Linked DNA regions of Caenorhabditis elegans. The protein of the gene in region 3 interacts with the protein of the main gene of each other region in a pairwise test. Each region holds a gene or a part of one and is shown on either strand. Other genes may lie near its edges.

Region 1 (3,285 bases), on a different chromosome or scaffold from region 3:
CTTCAAATGAAAAGTTTGCTTTTAGTAATCCCATTCTCAGTAAGAAAACAATTAAGATAAAAACTAATGTATAATAATTTTAGTTTATTACTGGCAAAAACCAATTGCCTTCAATAATTCGAAATAATGACGATCAGCTCAAAACTTGAGCATGGCACGTTCACTTTTAACTTTTTCGAAAAAGTAATAAAAATGTCCCTCACCATGAATGTATTATTGACAAAGCTTCAATATTTTTAAATTTAACATTAGGAGAAACAAAATTCAACATTACACATTTGAGTGCATAACAATTTGGCGATCAGGAATAAATTTCAAAATTTACTACTATATTTGTAAAACTTATGAAACAGAAATTAATTTTTAAACTTTTTTGCTCTGAAACTATGTGACTATGTTCTTACTTTTGCTCGATTAATTCTTCTCATCAACCATCTCTGAAAATCCGATGGTGACTCACAATCACAGGCAAATCTGCTGAAATTCCCACCCAATCGAATCTGAATTTCTCTTTTATTATTATCAACCAAACTGAAATGGAAAGTTTCGTTTTGTAACCCAATGATTCCACCAAAAAATGACTGTTTTGTCTTATCATGATGGAACATAGATAAACTGGTTTCTGGTCAAATGTCCTTTCCTTTTGAAGTGACTAACCTTTTTTAAACCATCCAAATGATTTAAGGATGTTGATGAAAGTTGATCCAATGGGTTATCAGATAAGTAGAGATGAGTTAAAGATGGTAATTTTGTAATGGTTTCTGGAATTGAGGTGATGGCAGAAGATGTTATTTCGAGATGGGTCAAATTGGCAAGATCAGTGAGCTTTTCCTGAAATAATTTTTTTGTGGACATTATTTGCGAAATATGGAAATTGATTAGAATTTAACTAAATTAGATGATGCTCTAAATTAGGTGAAATTTTCGGACAACACAATGACAGCAGGATTAAAATTTCAAATATCATACTGCATAAGTAGGCATGTCGAAACAGTAAAAAATTGTTTACATAAATACATCCAATTGCATAAAATAATTGAAAAATACATAGTTCTATATTTGAAAAACCTTAGGAACACAAAACCAGTTAGTTAAGTTTCCCTCAATTTTCAAAATTAACCTCCGGATTCAAAAAATAACTCACCATTTCCACTGAAGTCATTTTGCTATTTGTGATCTTCAAAGCTCGCAAGTTGCTCAGTTCTTTCAATTTCTCGGTCTAAAAGTCTTGATGTCTAATGAATTCTTCCAAAGAAAAAAAAACCTCAAAAATCTTCCAATCAGTCTGATTCATATGTAATTGTGTCAATGGGGATGGAAATTTTCCGAGCTTATCCCATCGAAGTTTGTCGCAAACCATAATGTTTTGAGATGTCTGAAATAATGTTCCGGGTTAACCAAAAAAGTTTCAAATTAGTTCCGTTTCTCTTCTATTGTGCCTTATCATCCAAGAAAAAACCAATTGGAAAGTGTAAAGTTAGCGAAACCGCGCGGGCGTACCTGACAACAAAGATAGATCCATAGTGATAGGATGAGTGATAATGGGAAATGTGGAGACATAGATTTGGTAACACAAAATGAAAAAAAAAATGAAAAAAGGAAACAGTGATCAAGAGAAAATTGTCAGTATAAAAGGAATGGGTTTAACATGGAAAGGCATCATCCAATCTTGATCATCTCAAAAATGGAGGACAACAAAATCAAGGTATTCACAAATTGTTTGGTTTAGTTTAAAGTTCTAAGAGGCTTTAGAATTTAATTTTAAAAACCATTCATGACTCTTATTTTTCGAAAATTATACAATTTTTCAGGCCTACCGTCTCATCGGGTATGCCGCAGTCTCCCTCTCAGCTGTCGGAATTCTTTCCGTTTGCATTACTCTTCCACTCGTTTATTCTTATGTGAGCAACCTCCGCTCTCAAATGCACTCTGAGCTCCGTCACTGCCGTGACACCGTTAACACGGTATATGCTACCGCTGTCGCTATGCCAGCTCTTCCCGGGAGAGGGAACCGTACCGCGCGTCAAGCTGGATACGATGTTGCCGTTCAAGACGCCCCAGCCCAGGAGCACAATAGCTGCGACGGATGCTGCTTGCCAGGAGCCGCTGGATCAGTCGGAGCTGCCGGACGCCCAGGAACTCCAGGACGCCCAGGTGCACCAGGAGCCCCAGGACACCCAGGAAAGCCACCACAGTCACCATGTGAACCATTAACCCCACCACCATGCCCAGCTTGCCCACCAGGGCCACCAGGAGCTCCAGGAGCACCAGGAAAGCCAGGATCCGAGGGACCACCAGGACCACCAGGGCACGATGGACCAAATGGAGGACCAGGACAACCAGGACAACCAGGACCACACGGACCAAACGGACACCCAGGAAAGCCAGGATCCCAAGGACCACCAGGACCACCAGGACACTCCGACGAGCCAAAGCCAGGACAACCAGGACAGCCAGGACGTGCTGGACCACGTGGACCACGTGGAGTTGCTGGAATCAAGGGCAAGGATGGAGCTCCAGGATCCCCAGGACAACCAGGACCACGTGGAGGACCAGGAGAGCCAGGACAAGATGGAGCTCCAGGACAACCAGGACTTCCAGGATCCGATGGAACTCCAGGAGAGAAGGGAATCTGTCCAAAATACTGTGCTATCGATGGAGGAGTCTTCTTCGAGGACGGATCCAGACGCTAGATTTTATTTCGTCTCTCCCATTTTTCATAAAGAGTTTAGCATTCCAATATTGTTTTTTTAGTTCGAAAATACACAAAATGAGTTTTTCAAAAAGCTAGAATTGATGAAATATCTAATTTCCCAGTTTCCAAAAATCATACCCTCACAATAGAGACATCCGCAGATCTCAAGCATTTGCACGTCGGCGGGCATTCGAAACGACATTCACATTCTTTTTTCTGACAACATTCACAATCTGCTTCACACATCTGAAAAAAATTACTGTTTCAAAGTTACTATGTATTTGAAATTTTTTTTAGCCTACCTTGAAACCTTTTTTAATTATCAGTTCAATTTTCTCGATTAATTTTTTGAAGAAAATGTTTGATAGCATAATTAAAGTCTGTTGGGTATATAATTACTGTTGTTTGATATCAGGCTTTTTCTCAGCACGGTTTTATTAAACTATACATCTTAGTCTCTTTTAAATCGAATTATATTGGTAGTACGCCACCAATTGTTTTTTCAATTAAAATGAAACATTTATAAAATAACTTACATTAGAATATTTGCAGAGCAGTTGATTCCTTGAATGAGCTAACGTGAGCAGCAT
Region 2 (4,240 bases), on a different chromosome or scaffold from region 3:
ACTTAACGTTTTGGATTTTGTGTTTTTATGGAATAAAGTACTTTTAGTTGGGATTTTTTTGTGCTCCGAGAGCTTGGAAGTCTGCATCTAATGGGGATTCTGATCTTCCGGGAGAATCCATACACATGGTGTCAGAGTGTCCCATATCGGCTTGATCTACGTAGATTTACAAAAAACGCGGGAGAAGAGACGCAAAGTTCTCAACTGATTTCGCATGATTAAGAACGTGCTGACGTCACATTTTTTTTGCAAAAAAATCCCGCATTTTTTGTAGATCAAACCGTAATGGGACAGCCTGGCACCATGTGTCCGTTTGGTTACAGGGGCGGTAAGGCTTAGTGGCCTACAAATCTGAAGTTAGGCCATGATTTTTTTAATCGAAAAAACACTGAATTCCTATTCAACTCAACTTGCGAAAACTCTATGCGCCGTTGAACTTCTTTGCAAAAGTATTGATAATAGGTCAGCGGCTACTTTCACGCCAATTCGAAATTTCGAAATATTTCGCAATACCTATGTACCTTTAAACCTTTTTCGCGTTGAGACCTACTCCGACAATTTCCAGAACCATGCTCTCCAATTTTGATGTATTTTTTTCAGAAACAGAAGGACAAAAAATAGTTGTATATTAAAAGCGAACCCCTACGCGTCGTAAATCGACACCGGCCGTGGCCGAGATAAAATGGCCTAGTTCAGCCAAATCTTAGATTTAAAAATATGAAAGCTAGTCCTCGAAACGTTTTTTATTAAAAAAAATTTAACTTTCGGGAAAAAACAAAAAAATAGTACGTTTTTCAAATTGTTTCGGATTTGATTGATTGAAAAAAACCTTTTTGGAGTAAAAAAAATTTCAGATTAAAAACTAAAAATTTTCTAATCACATCACCTGTCACACACGTTGGAAAAAATGATTTATTGAAAATTTTCTGGCCTAAAATAGCTCTGAGAACTGGAAATTTTCTAAAGAACCGAAAAATTAGTAACTACGAAATTCCAGCTCAATTTCAGCAAAAACGGAGCAGCAACGGGGGGCTAAAATAGAAGTTTGACGTATTTCGGCAGCCATCCGGCACCAGGCGGAATATTTAAGTGAGAAGGGTGGAGTTACTCGTCATTTACCCCCGGAAGTTTCTAATAGCAGCTGAAAATACTTTTTTTGGATATTAAACTATTTTTTCGAAAACTTGGGTTATTCTCAGAATGAATATCAAAATCATATTAAGCTCGTTGAGAGCTTTGAAATGACACCCATATTGACATGTTTTGGGTCTCGCTGCGAAAAAAAATTAAAGGCGCATAAGGGTTTTTTTTTGAAAATTTCAAAGTATGGCTTGATTATACTTTTTGAAAGTTCTCAGCGGGGAGAACTCTGAATTGAGTAATGCTGAAAATTTTATTCATGGCCTAACTTTTGAAATTCTAGGCCATATAAGAAAAATCACATTTTTAAGGGTTTTAGACCTGATTTTTAAAGTTTCTTTTTTGAGAAATAAAAGCAATTTTAGAAAATTTTCAAATATTCCACAAAAAAACGTACAAAAGCAAAAATCTCCATCCTAAACGACAGAAAATTGGCGAAAAAATGAGAATTTTGGAAAAGATACGGCTCGGTTTCCGGAAATCTGCACACAATACCCATCGATACAGTCTTTGTAGTGGCTTTGGCGGATAGAAACTTCACAAAGATGTGCTCAAAAGCTCAAAAGCTTTCCCGCGGGCCACTTGAAGCTTCCGCTCATCCACCGTATCCGATTTCGTTTTTTTCCACCGCAACCGATTTGTGTGATGGACGCAGAGTTTGGTTAATGATATTTTTAATTTGAAATTTATCTTTTTTTTAGAAAAAAAATTGAATTTTCAGGGATTTTCAGCTACTTCCTGCGATTTTCCATTAAAAATCTCTGCGTCTCAATGTCTCCCCGCACTCTCTCGCTGGTTCTCGTCGAGAAACGCGCCAAGGCGAGTGCTGGCGCACTTACTGGGATCGAAAAACGCGTCAACTGGAATTTTCTTTTTCCCCGGAATTTCTACGCTCAATTTTTACCGATTTTCCTCGAATTTTTTGCGTTTTTTCGCAAATTTTCATTGAAAAATCATGTCGGACACAGCGGACAGTCTATCAGCACGTGGAATCCCAAAAAGCGAGCTCATTGTAAGTCGGAAAATTTAAAAAATTGAAAATCTCTAAAAACTCGAGAAAAAATCCAGTAAACCAGTATTTTCCATTGAATTTTGGAAGAAGTCTCAAGAATTTCCTCAAAAAACTAAGTTTTCCCTCAAAACTGAAAAATTCGGGAAAAAAATGTCAAATCCTATTTTTCAAACAAAAATTGGAGTTTGTTATGGAAATTTTCTGGAATTTTAGTGAAAAATCTTTAAAAAATATTAGAAAATTCACAAATTCCTCTCTGAACCCCATTTTTTTTCAGGAAGACGTCGAGTCATGGCTCACAAAGGAGAAGCTTTCGATCGAGGAAGCCGAAGTTGTGCTCCGTGAGAAATACGGAAAGTACAAATACGTCGAATCATCGATGCTCGCTCAAAAAGTACGAATGAGCGAAAAAATCCCGGAATTCGAGAACAGTTTGAGCATTATCGACACATTAATCGCGAAAAGAGCCGCCGATGAGTCGTTCGAGACGACTTTCCTGCTCTCCGATGATGTCTACACAAAAGCCACTGTTCAGAAGCCCGAGAAGGTAGAAAAAACGCTGAAAATTCAAGAAAAATAGCTGGAAATCGATATTTTCAAGGAAAAATCGCCTAAAATCAAGTTCCCACAATTTTTTCCTCGAAAATTCACAAAAAATGTGATTTTTCAACCAATTTTAACACAAAAATGCCAGAAAACCCCATTTTTAAGGAAATTGGCACTTGAAAACCGCAAAAATTTGAATTTTTGACTTTAATTTTTTTTTTCCCAAGAAAATACCTAAAAATCCTCATTTTAAGCCAATTTCAGCATTAAAAAAGGCTGAATTTTAGAATTTTTAGTCAACTTGCACAGGGAAACTTCACAATATTTTTTTCTAGCTATTTTTCAAAAAAAAAATCAATTTTTGATGCGAAAAACTTCAAAAAACCAACTTTCAGCAATTTTCGGCAATTTTTATCGAAAAAACTCAAAATTTCGTATTTTAAAAAGCAATTTCCTCCCAAAAACCCAGAATTATAATTTTTTAGCAATTTTTCCCGGAAAAACATTAAAAATTCTGATTTTCAGCCCTAAAAATGGCTCAATAATTCAATTTTCAGAAAAACCCTCTAAAATTCCCGAAATTTCCAGGTATCAATCTGGCTTGGAGCCAACGTAATGGTCGAATATGACCTTGAAAATGCTCGAAAACTGCTCGACAAAAACCGTGGCTCCGTTCAAAAAGTGGTCGACGAGCTGACAAACGAATTGTCATATATTAAGGATCAAATCACCACAACCGAAGTCAACATGTCCCATATTGTCAATTTTGGAGTTAATAAACGTCGTGCCGCTCTCGCTGTCAATAATGGAGCGAAATAATTGATCAAAATTACACAATTTTCCCCGTTTTTCGCCCGAAAAATCTCTTGAAATCCCCTTTAAAATCCCATTTTTTGATTGTTTCTGCTGAATTTTTGTTGAATTTTCCGTATTTTTGTCCCGCCACATCCCCCCGATTTGCTTTTAAATTTTGCTATAATTTTTCGCCAATTTTTCATAAAATTCAAAAATCCAAAAAAGTGCAGAAATTTTGAAAACAAAAATCGATTTTCCCATATTATTTGACTAAAATTGGATATTTTTCACTATTTTTCAAAAGATTTTCTCCAAAAATCGTGATTTTTTCCCGTTTTTAGCTTGAAATTTGCAATTTTTCTCACGAAATTCAAAAATTCAAAAAATTTAACAGCAACAAAAATTTAAAAAATCAACAATCAAATTAAAAAAATAAATTATTCGGCGACCGGGAGCATCGTGGCATGAGTCAGGTACCCAGTGTGTGTTGGCTGAGAATATGGATAGACGATTGCAATTGTGATACGTGGAATGGCGGAGCTGCTGAAAATTTGCACAATTTTAGCTCGATGGCCTGGATTTTCACTCCGGGGTTCGAGTCCCCACTGTGGTCGAAATATTTTTATTGGTTCTTTTTCAATTTTTTTAGGGTAAACCAAGGGTCCTGAGCTCGAAAATCAACATCTCAGCAGCCAGAAATCAATGGAAAATGCCCAAACCTTTGCTCAACGATTGTTCCATCGACAT
Region 3 (5,193 bases):
TTAAAAATTTTAGCTCAACTTTGTTCAAACTTCTGCCAACTTCTGATTCAATTTTTTGGACCAGAACTTAATGACAGTTAATGGTAGTTAATCAATGTTGGAACAAAAAATATTGAGTCGGAGACGGTCAATACGAAATGATCAATATTAAAAGTTCCAACTTCAAAAAATATGTGCATACCAGAATTCTGACTAATTTGCATTGTCTTCACACAAAGTGCATTATTCAAACGACAATGTGAGCTCATTGGTTTGACGAGAACTCTGTCCATGTATGATGTTGAGTTGATGCACTCCAGTGATATACATATTAACGGAAGTAATGTCAAAAGTGTGAAAATAGTAACAGAATATACGGAAATACTCATGAGTCTAACACTGGTTGACTTTCGGTGTCAAAGTTGAAAAGGGGTAAGAGTAACAAAAAGAAGAGAAAAAGAGAAACAGTAAACCTTGAAAAATAACCAGTCCCCACCCTTTTCGACCTCTTTTCCGTCAAATTTTCAAAGCGAAACTAATCGTTTTGTCAAATAATTTGAAAGAATATTTCAAGAAGCAATGACATTCATGTATTTATTTATAAATTAAGGGAAATCGACAAGAAGTTCAGCAGTATCTAGTAACAATATTTTTCATCAGATCCATCAGCACAATCTGTTTCTCCATTACACCATTGTAGACGTGTCACTGATTGTTTTTGATTCTCGCAGAGCAAATATTTTTGGCGTCCTTCTTGTTCTGAAATAACAAGTGTAGTATTCGTCAGTGTTTATTTGGACACTTGGCTAAAAATACTTTTTTTCCTATGTTTTTGTCTCGAACAAGAAAAAGTTCGCACATTGAAGTTGTGCCAAAATGTGTGGTTATAGTTAAGAAAGACATTCCAAATTGTATGTATTTCTATTAATGTTGCACTCCCAATGTTAGACTTTGACAATTAAATATCTCAGTTGTCTTTTCTCCTATTTAAAAATTGTCATTTGACAATTTTTTGAAAACTTTTTTCTATCGTTTGCAGTCAATTATTTATTGAAAAATATGTTCAATATCTTTAAATTGAACCGAGGTATAACCTTTTAAAGTGAAATAGTAGGATGCGATATTATTAGAGGAAGTACTGTACATTATTTCGCCACTTATAACTTTCCAGAGGTGTTTTCCGGGTGAGAAGAAGGGAGGCAGAAAAAAACTTACTACAATTCATTTCATCTTCTCCATTTAAACAATCTTTCTTTCCATCACAATGCATATCTAAATCCACACATGAAACACCTCCACGCGATGTTCCACAGACGAACTTTCCAATACAAGCTTTAATTACTTTGTTATAAAGTACATTTTAAAAAGTAAAAATTACTTGTATTTTTACTGCATCCAATTTCATCAAGATTCGATCCATCTTCACAATCATCAGCCACACCGTCACATCTTTTGTTTGCAGGAATACAATGTTCACTCTTCACACATGCAAACTCATCACGTGCACACGATGCTAAAGGTTTTCAATTTAATTGGCAATTGTTGTAATGAGTAACTTACGACAATTGTTCTCATCTTCCCCATCGGCACAGTCTGGGTGACCATCACAACGTTTGCTCACATGGATACAGGATTGAGGCATTGCACAACAAGCAAACTCATTTTCAGTACAGGTGTCTTTGATTGCTGCAATATCAAACACTATTTTATATTGGAGCTTTTTGTAAATAAATATATTTTATAGATTTCGAGAAAAAATCGATGAAATAATTAAGTTTCCATAAAATCAAAATCAGAAAATTGCAGATTTACAAACTTTCAAGCGCACCTCATGGTGCATCAACGCCATATGAAATTTTATACATACTCTTAATTGAATGACTTACTACAGTGCATGACATGATCGTATTCTGGACAGAATTTAATAGCATTCTTGTGATTACAATTTTCAGTAGACTTATCAAATGCTTGATCTTCGGACATACACGCCAGAGGAAAAGTCTGGCCAATTGAACACTGAAAATATGAAAGAAGTTCGGAATTTCAGAAATCTATTGACTGTAGAAATATAAATATTGATAGCATACAAATAAAAATAGCTTATTTCGTGCATACAATAAAGATAAGTTTCAATACTTTAAATTATACATTTGTTCAACTATTTCTGTATTTCAGAAAAATAATTTCCAAAAAATTACCTGGAAGAAAACATGAGAGCATGAAGTGTTGTATACAAAATAATCAATCCTTTCTAATCCATATTGTGCTAGTACATCATCTGGGAATTCTCGTTTATCACAATAGTTAATTGCATAGCTGTTGTCTGGTTTTTCTGGAGCTTGAGTTTGAGGCATTGGTGGTGGGATTGTACCAGGTTCAACGATTCCAGATCCACCAAGTGGAAATACAGGGTTCACAACTTTAAATTGAGGTTCTTCAGTTTCATAAATGTCTACACTATCCACATCTGGTTCGACTACATCCTAAATATTGTTTCTTGATATTCTGGTAATGTAAACAAATATAGACCTATCCTCGGCCCTGGCCCAAGCCTTTATAACTTACAATATTTGGATATGGCTGCTGAACAGTATGAATGCTTGATTGAGGATTTGGAACGTAGCCTCCAGAACCAGACGAAGCACTAGGTTGTACATATGGATAAGGCTGCTGGAAAATATTTATACAATTCACTAAAGAAAAACGATTGTTTTGATTTTTTTCAAAATTAAGTTTTTAAATCGTCTGTGAATCCAATTGGAATCTTTATGTTGCCTAAAACCATAATGATTTTTTGTGCGATTTTTTGTCAAAATTAGGTCTCGATACGACAGAAATATTTTAAATACGGTGATTTTAAATAGTACTGTAGTGCGACTCATTTCACAATTTTTTCGATTTTACATAAATATTTTCCTTGTAGCTCATACCGATTTATATGTAAATACGAAACAAATAGTTAGAAATAAAGCATTAAAATCGGAACGAACGAGGAAAAATTGAAAAAAAAACTTGAACTTGAACTACAGTACTCCTTATAGGTGCAAATCCCTTGGCGAGCCCTTCATTTGAACAATATCTTGGTCGTGGTGAGACCCTAAGCATTAGAAACTTTGAGAAAGAGAAATAAGAACAAATGCTACAAATTTTTGAACAGTTCACTGTACCTGCTGAGTTGCTGTGCCATATAGATCCTGTGGAAGAACCGGTTGAACGGCTAGAAGAATGAAAAATATGGACGTTAACCATGCCATGATTTGCAAAATGATTGGCAATCAAATTTACCGGAACAGATCGAGAGAATGGATGAGCAGATGATAAAGATGGTGGAACTTGATGTTGCTGCCCACTGAAGACTGTAGCTGAAGAAGCACAAGTGTCGTGTGTGCACTGGACTTTCTTCTTTTTCAATTGTTTGTGTTCTTTTCTATCGCTAAAGAAGCTTTTCGCGCTGTTGGGGGCTACTGGTGGTGCGCGGCAACTGATCGCCACTTCAAGCTGACTGACTAGTGGTCACTTGTCACTTGATACGTTCCCACCTTGAGAAACAACACAGGAGCAGACAATAATGAAGCAAAAAAGCAAAAAAAAAAAGTGACACGATGTTAGGACACGAACTTGGTTATAAAAAAGGATTCATAGTATATACATCAAGAATTGAGATTTTATGAAAATAATTAATCTATTCATCTTCTCCATGATGTGCTCGACGAGTGCTCCCAGGACAATGTTCGATCATATCTTCTGGCGAGGAAAAGTTGGCTCCGCACCAAATACAATAGAAGTGACCATCTCGAAGATAATTGTTGATAGTGGAAAGTCTGAAATAAACGCATATTTAATACTATTGTCGGTTTGGATAAATAACGCTCATTGAAACCTTATCTACAAAACAAAAACTTACGCTTCTTCTAAAATTTCCGTTGACATTGTGAAATCATAATTCGGATCTTCTGGAGCTGCTAAACCATTTGAGTACTTATATTCTTCATCTTCTTTTTCAACTTTTTTATGGTAAGATGTAGTTTCCTCTTGAGCAACTTTATAACTTCTCCAAAACCACGAAACACTGGGAACTTTTTTTCCAATTCGATGATCCAACTCTTCGCACACCTTTCGACAAGATCTGATGTCTTTGACTAATTGCTTTGAGTTGGCATCAAGCTTCCGCCGTTTGGAATAGTCATCGATCAGCTCTTCATGCTTTGCCGCTTGTTCTTTCATTTTTTGCATTACAGCCTCAACTCGTTCATTGCGTTCTTGAACTGCTTCAACCTCGTGCCCAAGTCCCTTCCTATTAGCCTTGATATCGACACCAATTGGTTCCGTAATTCGAATTTCGTCTTCTCTTTGCTTTCCCAATGTCATACCAGGTTTGAATCCCATTTTTGCCATCAATGCAAATCCTTTCGATTCGTGGCTAATCGGTTTTGCGAGCGCCTCGTCGCGACGTTCTTTTTCTGAAATTTATTTGGTAAACTACAAAAATAATATACTACGATTTACAAACCTCGCTCAGCATGACTAGTTGGCCTTTTTGGTTTAAACGTGTCTCTGGACTCTTCAAATCTTGAATTTATTTGTAGTTCTCGCTTGTGAGCTCTAGATTTTGCAATTCCAACTGGTTGTTCACTAACTCCTTGGAGAATTTCAGCAGACATGTAGTCATCCTCATCGTCAGACATTCTGATCTTGAATCGAAATTTTTTATGAATAAGGTTAGCTTTTAACAAGAAGAAAGAAACAAAAGCGTAGCAAAAAACGCATTAGAATATTGAAACAGTTAGAAAATATTTTTCATTTCACATCGGCCGATGCATCGGGTTCATCTCGTAAAATATAAAACATGAGGTAACAACATTTGGAAACTCGGGAATGATCTGACAAAGCATAAAACATAATTAAAAGGTGAGCGAATCAATTTTGAGACCGTAAAATATTATTTGTACTATTGAGATTCTTCAATACCATTCTAGAACCGTCTCTTCGTATTAACTCTTTTCACTGTTCCATCTGGATAACGTTTCGAAAGGAAACTTATTCCGTGCTCGTCCTTCCCCAAACAATAAATATACTCTGGACGACAACTGATTGTGATCCTGTTGACGAGTCGCTCATCGTGAGTGATTACTACCATCTATAAGTTTGATTATTAGTTTTGATAGCTCATTATCCCATACCTGCATATCTCTTCCTCTCAACTTTCCATTTTCA
Region 4 (4,564 bases), 1.3 Mb from region 3:
ATCTATCGTTGAAACTTTATTTGCCTCGTTAACGTAGCTGCGAATAATTCCGAATCGATTATACTTCAGAAACCTTTGTGTTGCGTCGAGATCCATTGGAGAGCTGTTAGATACAAATCGTTCAGGAATAAGAACTTTTCGGGGAGCAGGTGGATCAGAATAGACTTGCGGGAGAGGATCATTCAAATTTCTGTCCGAGCTCATCGGTCGCATTTCCTCAGGTTCACCGAGTTTAAAACCGAATTCTTCAAGCCCTCCAAGATCTTGGTTCCCATAATTGAATTGTCGTTTGATAGCTCCAAGATCGGAAGACACTAAAATTAAAACATCAAGAGAAATTATATTTACAATCCCTCACTTCGGGTATCTTCATCTTCTTCAATGGCTTCTTCATTGAATAAACTATCTTTTTTGAGTGAAGTTCTATTCAAAAGGATTGAGTCGTCATCATCACTATCAACTGCAACATCTTCAGTTTTGTTTGAAACAGGCTTCTCGTTAGATGAATCATCTTTGAAGACATTAAACAAACAGATTCCTCTCTAAAATATTGTTACTTGAAAGTGCTCGAAAAGGGAAAAACTCACATTTGAATCAGCGACAATCAATTTTTTTGGGGAGAATGGAGAAAAAACAATAGAAGTGATGATAGTGATACCAGGTGCATTTCTCACGAATTTTTCACAACACACAATATCTCTGGAAAAAATGTATTATTTATCAGTTCACACATTTACCTAAATTTACAATTCATCACTATTCCAAACAGCAATTTGATTATCCATGGTTGAGGAGGCAAGATACTTCCCACACGGCGAAAGCGCAGTAACCGAAAAATCCACAGAAGCATGATCTTTCAAACGGTATACACCAGATTCTTCCCACCCATTTCGACGGTACGATTTCACACATCCTTTTGAAGGAACAAACAGCCATTGACCATCCTTTGACCATGAGAGTTGAATACGAGGTCGTGAAACACTGAAAAACAGGACATTGTTTAAAACCGAAGTATAACATGAAACACTAACTCAATTGTTTCAAATCTTGGGAAAACCTTGGTCAGTGTGTGTTTAATCGAGAATGAATCAATGTCTATAATAGTCACATTGCCATCCACAGTAGAAACGGCCACAAATTCATTTTTTGGATCCAGTTTGACACAAAGAACTTCAGCTTCAAGACTTCTCGTTTTCAGCTCTGCATCTAAATCTTTCATATTCGTGCATTTAACCGCATAATCGCTAGATCCTCCAATAACATTTTCCCTGTTTGCGTCGACCGTTGTGACATCCATTTGGAATTCAAGAGGATCAATAATATCTCCTGCTTCGAAATTGCCCTTTTTCGCCCGTCCCACCATTTGCTGCTCGGATCCAACAATGAAATCCACCTTGCGGTAACCAAAACAGATGTTTTCTCCATACCAAGCAATAGATGATGTTGTCGCATCGGGAATCTCGATTATTTCAGGTTTTTCATCTTGCAGCAACACGTTCTTATTGATCTTGAGTACATTTCGTTCAGCATCACAAACGTAAATCTGAAAAAAACAGGTAAATATGTTTATAAATCGTTTTAAATCCTACATTTTCAGTATCTTCTCCTGAAGCATCAATGCAGATAGTTTGAAGGCCGATATTCTCCAAATTTTTAACGTTAGTAAAGCTCATCTGAAAACAATGGAATTACGAGTGAAATTATTTATTTTCATCAAAAATAAATAAAATGCGAGCAAATTTTAAACCTGATTCTTGGCGCCGAAATGCGGTAAAAAAGTGTAATGCAACCATGGACCAGTGAACTGCGTAGAACCCCTATGTTTTGCGTACTGGCATTCTGCCAGGGGCACATACGCAGACTTTTCAGTGTATTTTTCCTCTGAAGAACACCACTCTTTTCAAGCGCCTCTTCTTTGAGCGTCGCTTCACTAGATTCTCCGACTCGTTGGTGACATCATGACCGGAGTAAGTTTATAAAATTAATTTCATTAAATTTGCAGTGCTGTTAAGAATAGTTAACGTGATTTCCGTTCGTTGCATTGAAAAATGATTAGGCCAAACCTTGAAATGACGAAATTTAACCAATTATTGATTTTTATTTTGCAGAAACTGTATGGAAACAAGGACAACTTCAGAACCCAAAAGGTTTTGATTGCTGCCAAGCTCGCCAACAAGACTGTCACCCTCGCCGGAGATGCTGCTCCAGCTGACAAGTTCCCACTTGGAGTTGTACGTTTTAATTTATTTAGATGTCAGTATTTGACGATCTGTGAACTATCAATGTGCAGAATTTCAGACCCCAGCATTTGAAGGAGATGCTCTTCTCTTCGGAGCTGAGTCGATCGGACTTCACCTGACTGGAACCTCAGCTAACGCCGAGACTGTCCAATGGCTTCAATTCGCAGAAGGTTATCTTCTTCCAGCTGTTCTCGGATACGTTCTTCCATCTGTGTCTGCAGCCAACTTTGACAAGAAGACTGTTGAACAATACAAGAATGAACTCAACGGACAACTCCAAGTACTCGATCGTGTTCTTGTTAAAAAGACCTACTTGGTTGGAGAACGTCTTTCTCTTGCCGACGTTTCCGTTGCTCTTGATCTTCTCCCAGCTTTCCAAGTACACTATGACCCAGATTATATGTATACACTCCTAATTTTCAGTATGTTCTTGATGCCAACGCTAGAAAGTCCATCGTCAACGTCACCCGTTGGTTCAGAACCGTTGTTAACCAGCCAGCTGTTAAGGAGGTTCTTGGAGAAGTTTCCCTTGCCTCATCGGTTGCTCAATTCAACCGTAAGTTTCTTTTTTGTTAGTGTGAATTTGTTTTGTTCCACTGCGAAGTCAGCAGACTAGTCAATCGATTAGTAGGCGTTACAGTGGTGGAATATCAAGATTTATGTACACCGTCTTTGCTTGAAACAGTTTTTGTTTTTGCTTTGTTCGGAACGTTTTTCATGGGACTGAGAGTTGGAAATTTAGCACTGGTCGTTTACAGGGTTGTCCTGCAGTCAATTCTAAGTTACCTTAGTTTATGTCCCACACATTTAAAAAGAAATCTAATTTTATAAAAAAACTTCTGATTTTGTATTCCCAGTTTAAATTTTATTCTTATTTTACAGAAGCCAAGTTCACTGAGCTCAGCGCTAAAGTCGCCAAGTCTGCTCCAAAGGCCGAGAAGCCAAAGAAAGAGGCCAAGCCAGCTGCTGCGGCTGCCCAGCCAGAGGACGATGAACCAAAGGAGGAGAAGAGCAAGGATCCATTCCAAGATATGCCAAAGGGAACATTCGTTCTTGACAATTTCAAGAGATCTTATTCCAACGAAGACACCGCTACCAAGGCTATCCCACACTTCTGGGAGAACTTCGATGCTGACAACTGGTCCATCTGGAAGTGCGAGTACAAATACCCAGAAGATCTCACTCTCGCCTTCATGAGCTGTAACCTTATCAATGGAATGTACCAAAGACTGGAGAAGTTGAAGAAGAATGCTTTCGCCTCCATGATTCTTTTCGGAACCGACAACAATTCGACCATCTCAGGAATCTGGGTGTGGAAGGGTGACAAGCTCGCCTTCGAACTCAGCCCAGACTGGCAGGTAGGACCATTTCCTCGATTTTGAATGTCGAAGAGTAGTCATTTGTATACGTGATACACTTATACAGAGTTACACTTTTCGTATATAAGTGCTTCTTCTCGTTGGAGTTGTTTATTTAATGAGCAATTACCTCTAAACTGAAAGCAACAATTTTATGAATTCTCGATAGTTTTCACAATAATATATTTCAGGTTGATTACGAATCGTACACCTGGACAAAGCTTGACGCCAAGTCCGATGCCACCAAGAAGGAAGTCAACGAGTATCTTATGTGGGAGGGAGACTTCGGAGGAAAGAAGTTCAACCAAGGAAAGATTTTCAAGTAAACTGGAGTTTCCATACAACCCGGTGTATTTGCCATTTAATCCTGTTGTTTACTCTGAGTCGGAAAGAATAAATTGTTTTCTATTGTTTATAAAGGACCCGGTATCACTTCAATAAATTATATCTTCTTCAAGTTGAGATTGAATTTATTCGTCTATAAGTGTTCCTAAATAATTTTAGATTTAAAAATTAGCTCCTAAGCTTGTTTCTTCGTTTTCGGTCGTCGTATAGTCCTCGATGTGTCCTTCGAAATATTCTTGATTTGCGTGTTCCAAAAAGCAAGATTTGATGTCGTTGAAATATTGTACACATTGCAAATGGTTGATTGAGAGGCTATTGACATCACTATCTTGACTCTGTAAAAATCATTGCGTGTCAGTAAAATGTCTCTCAAACCTGATCGCAGAAAGAGTGACAGTGTATTGGAACTAATGATTTGGAGCAGCATTCCGTGTGGTTTGTTCCTCGTGCCGCACAAAAATGAATCTTTTGAATTGCAGTCACTGGGCACACTGATTGTTGAAGAAACACTGCACTGACTTCTTCTGATGAGTACGTAGAATATGAGCATAAATCTGTGCAAGATGATTCAACTTCGAGAAGTGAGCAGCAGGTGGCAAAGTGCTCATCCGGTGTCTGTTA

The links.
Region 1: the proteins of lrx-1 (region 3) and col-122 interact in a two-hybrid assay, tested with the Caenorhabditis elegans proteins (one large-scale study listed by BioGRID).
Region 2: the proteins of lrx-1 (region 3) and pfd-3 interact in a two-hybrid assay, tested with the Caenorhabditis elegans proteins (one large-scale study listed by BioGRID).
Region 4: the proteins of lrx-1 (region 3) and eef-1G interact in a two-hybrid assay, tested with the Caenorhabditis elegans proteins (one large-scale study listed by BioGRID).

What each region holds. Positions count from the first base shown.
Region 1 is NC_003282.8:9,561,704-9,564,988, forward strand, and holds col-122 (Nematode cuticle collagen N-terminal domain-containing protein), read left to right. Parts: upstream 1-1,675; 5' UTR 1,676-1,684; coding exon 1,685-1,705; intron 1,706-1,811; coding exon 1,812-2,693; 3' UTR 2,694-2,738; downstream 2,739-3,285. Other genes in the region: lron-14 (eLRR (extracellular Leucine-Rich Repeat) ONly), read right to left, coding at 405-500, 658-831, 1,145-1,219, 1,265-1,375, 2,834-2,941, 3,232-3,285.
Region 2 is NC_003279.8:12,726,160-12,730,399, forward strand, and holds pfd-3 (putative prefoldin subunit 3), read left to right. Parts: upstream 1-1,977; 5' UTR 1,978-2,095; coding exon 2,096-2,152; intron 2,153-2,429; coding exon 2,430-2,699; intron 2,700-3,286; coding exon 3,287-3,517; 3' UTR 3,518-3,739; downstream 3,740-4,240. Other genes in the region: trm-61A (tRNA (adenine(58)-N(1))-methyltransferase catalytic subunit TRMT61A), read right to left, coding at 3,931-4,036, 4,213-4,240. UniProt on the Caenorhabditis elegans protein: Binds specifically to cytosolic chaperonin (c-CPN) and transfers target proteins to it. Binds to nascent polypeptide chain and promotes folding in an environment in which there are many competing pathways for nonnative proteins.
Region 3 is NC_003283.11:12,250,818-12,256,010, reverse strand, and holds lrx-1 (LRP X(cross)-hybridizing), read right to left. Parts: upstream 3,327-5,193; 5' UTR 3,234-3,326; coding exon 3,147-3,233; intron 2,650-3,146; coding exon 2,545-2,649; intron 2,463-2,544; coding exon 2,178-2,462; intron 1,996-2,177; coding exon 1,866-1,995; intron 1,666-1,865; coding exon 1,540-1,665; intron 1,493-1,539; coding exon 1,358-1,492; intron 1,312-1,357; coding exon 1,195-1,311; intron 739-1,194; coding exon 617-738; 3' UTR 561-616; downstream 1-560. Other genes in the region: T04H1.12 (Activin_recp domain-containing protein), read right to left, coding at 182-368; T04H1.5 (G patch domain-containing protein 11), read right to left, coding at 3,662-3,800, 3,884-4,439, 4,490-4,664; rad-50 (Zinc-hook domain-containing protein), read right to left, coding at 4,952-5,116, 5,160-5,193.
Region 4 is NC_003283.11:10,963,867-10,968,430, forward strand, and holds eef-1G (putative elongation factor 1-gamma), read left to right. Parts: upstream 1-1,852; 5' UTR 1,853-1,958; coding exon 1,959-1,967; intron 1,968-2,108; coding exon 2,109-2,231; coding exon of another isoform or gene 2,232-2,253; intron 2,254-2,298; coding exon 2,299-2,619; intron 2,620-2,663; coding exon 2,664-2,796; intron 2,797-2,831; exon of another isoform or gene 2,832-3,049; intron 3,050-3,122; coding exon 3,123-3,598; intron 3,599-3,623; exon of another isoform or gene 3,624-3,750; intron 3,751-3,789; coding exon 3,790-3,924; 3' UTR 3,925-4,056; downstream 4,057-4,564. Other genes in the region: ctf-4 (WDHD1/CFT4 second beta-propeller domain-containing protein), read right to left, coding at 1-314, 359-542, 588-699, 748-981, 1,032-1,543, 1,590-1,673; dbd-16 (DB domain-containing protein), read right to left, coding at 4,105-4,278, 4,319-4,558. UniProt on the Caenorhabditis elegans protein: Probably plays a role in anchoring the complex to other cellular components.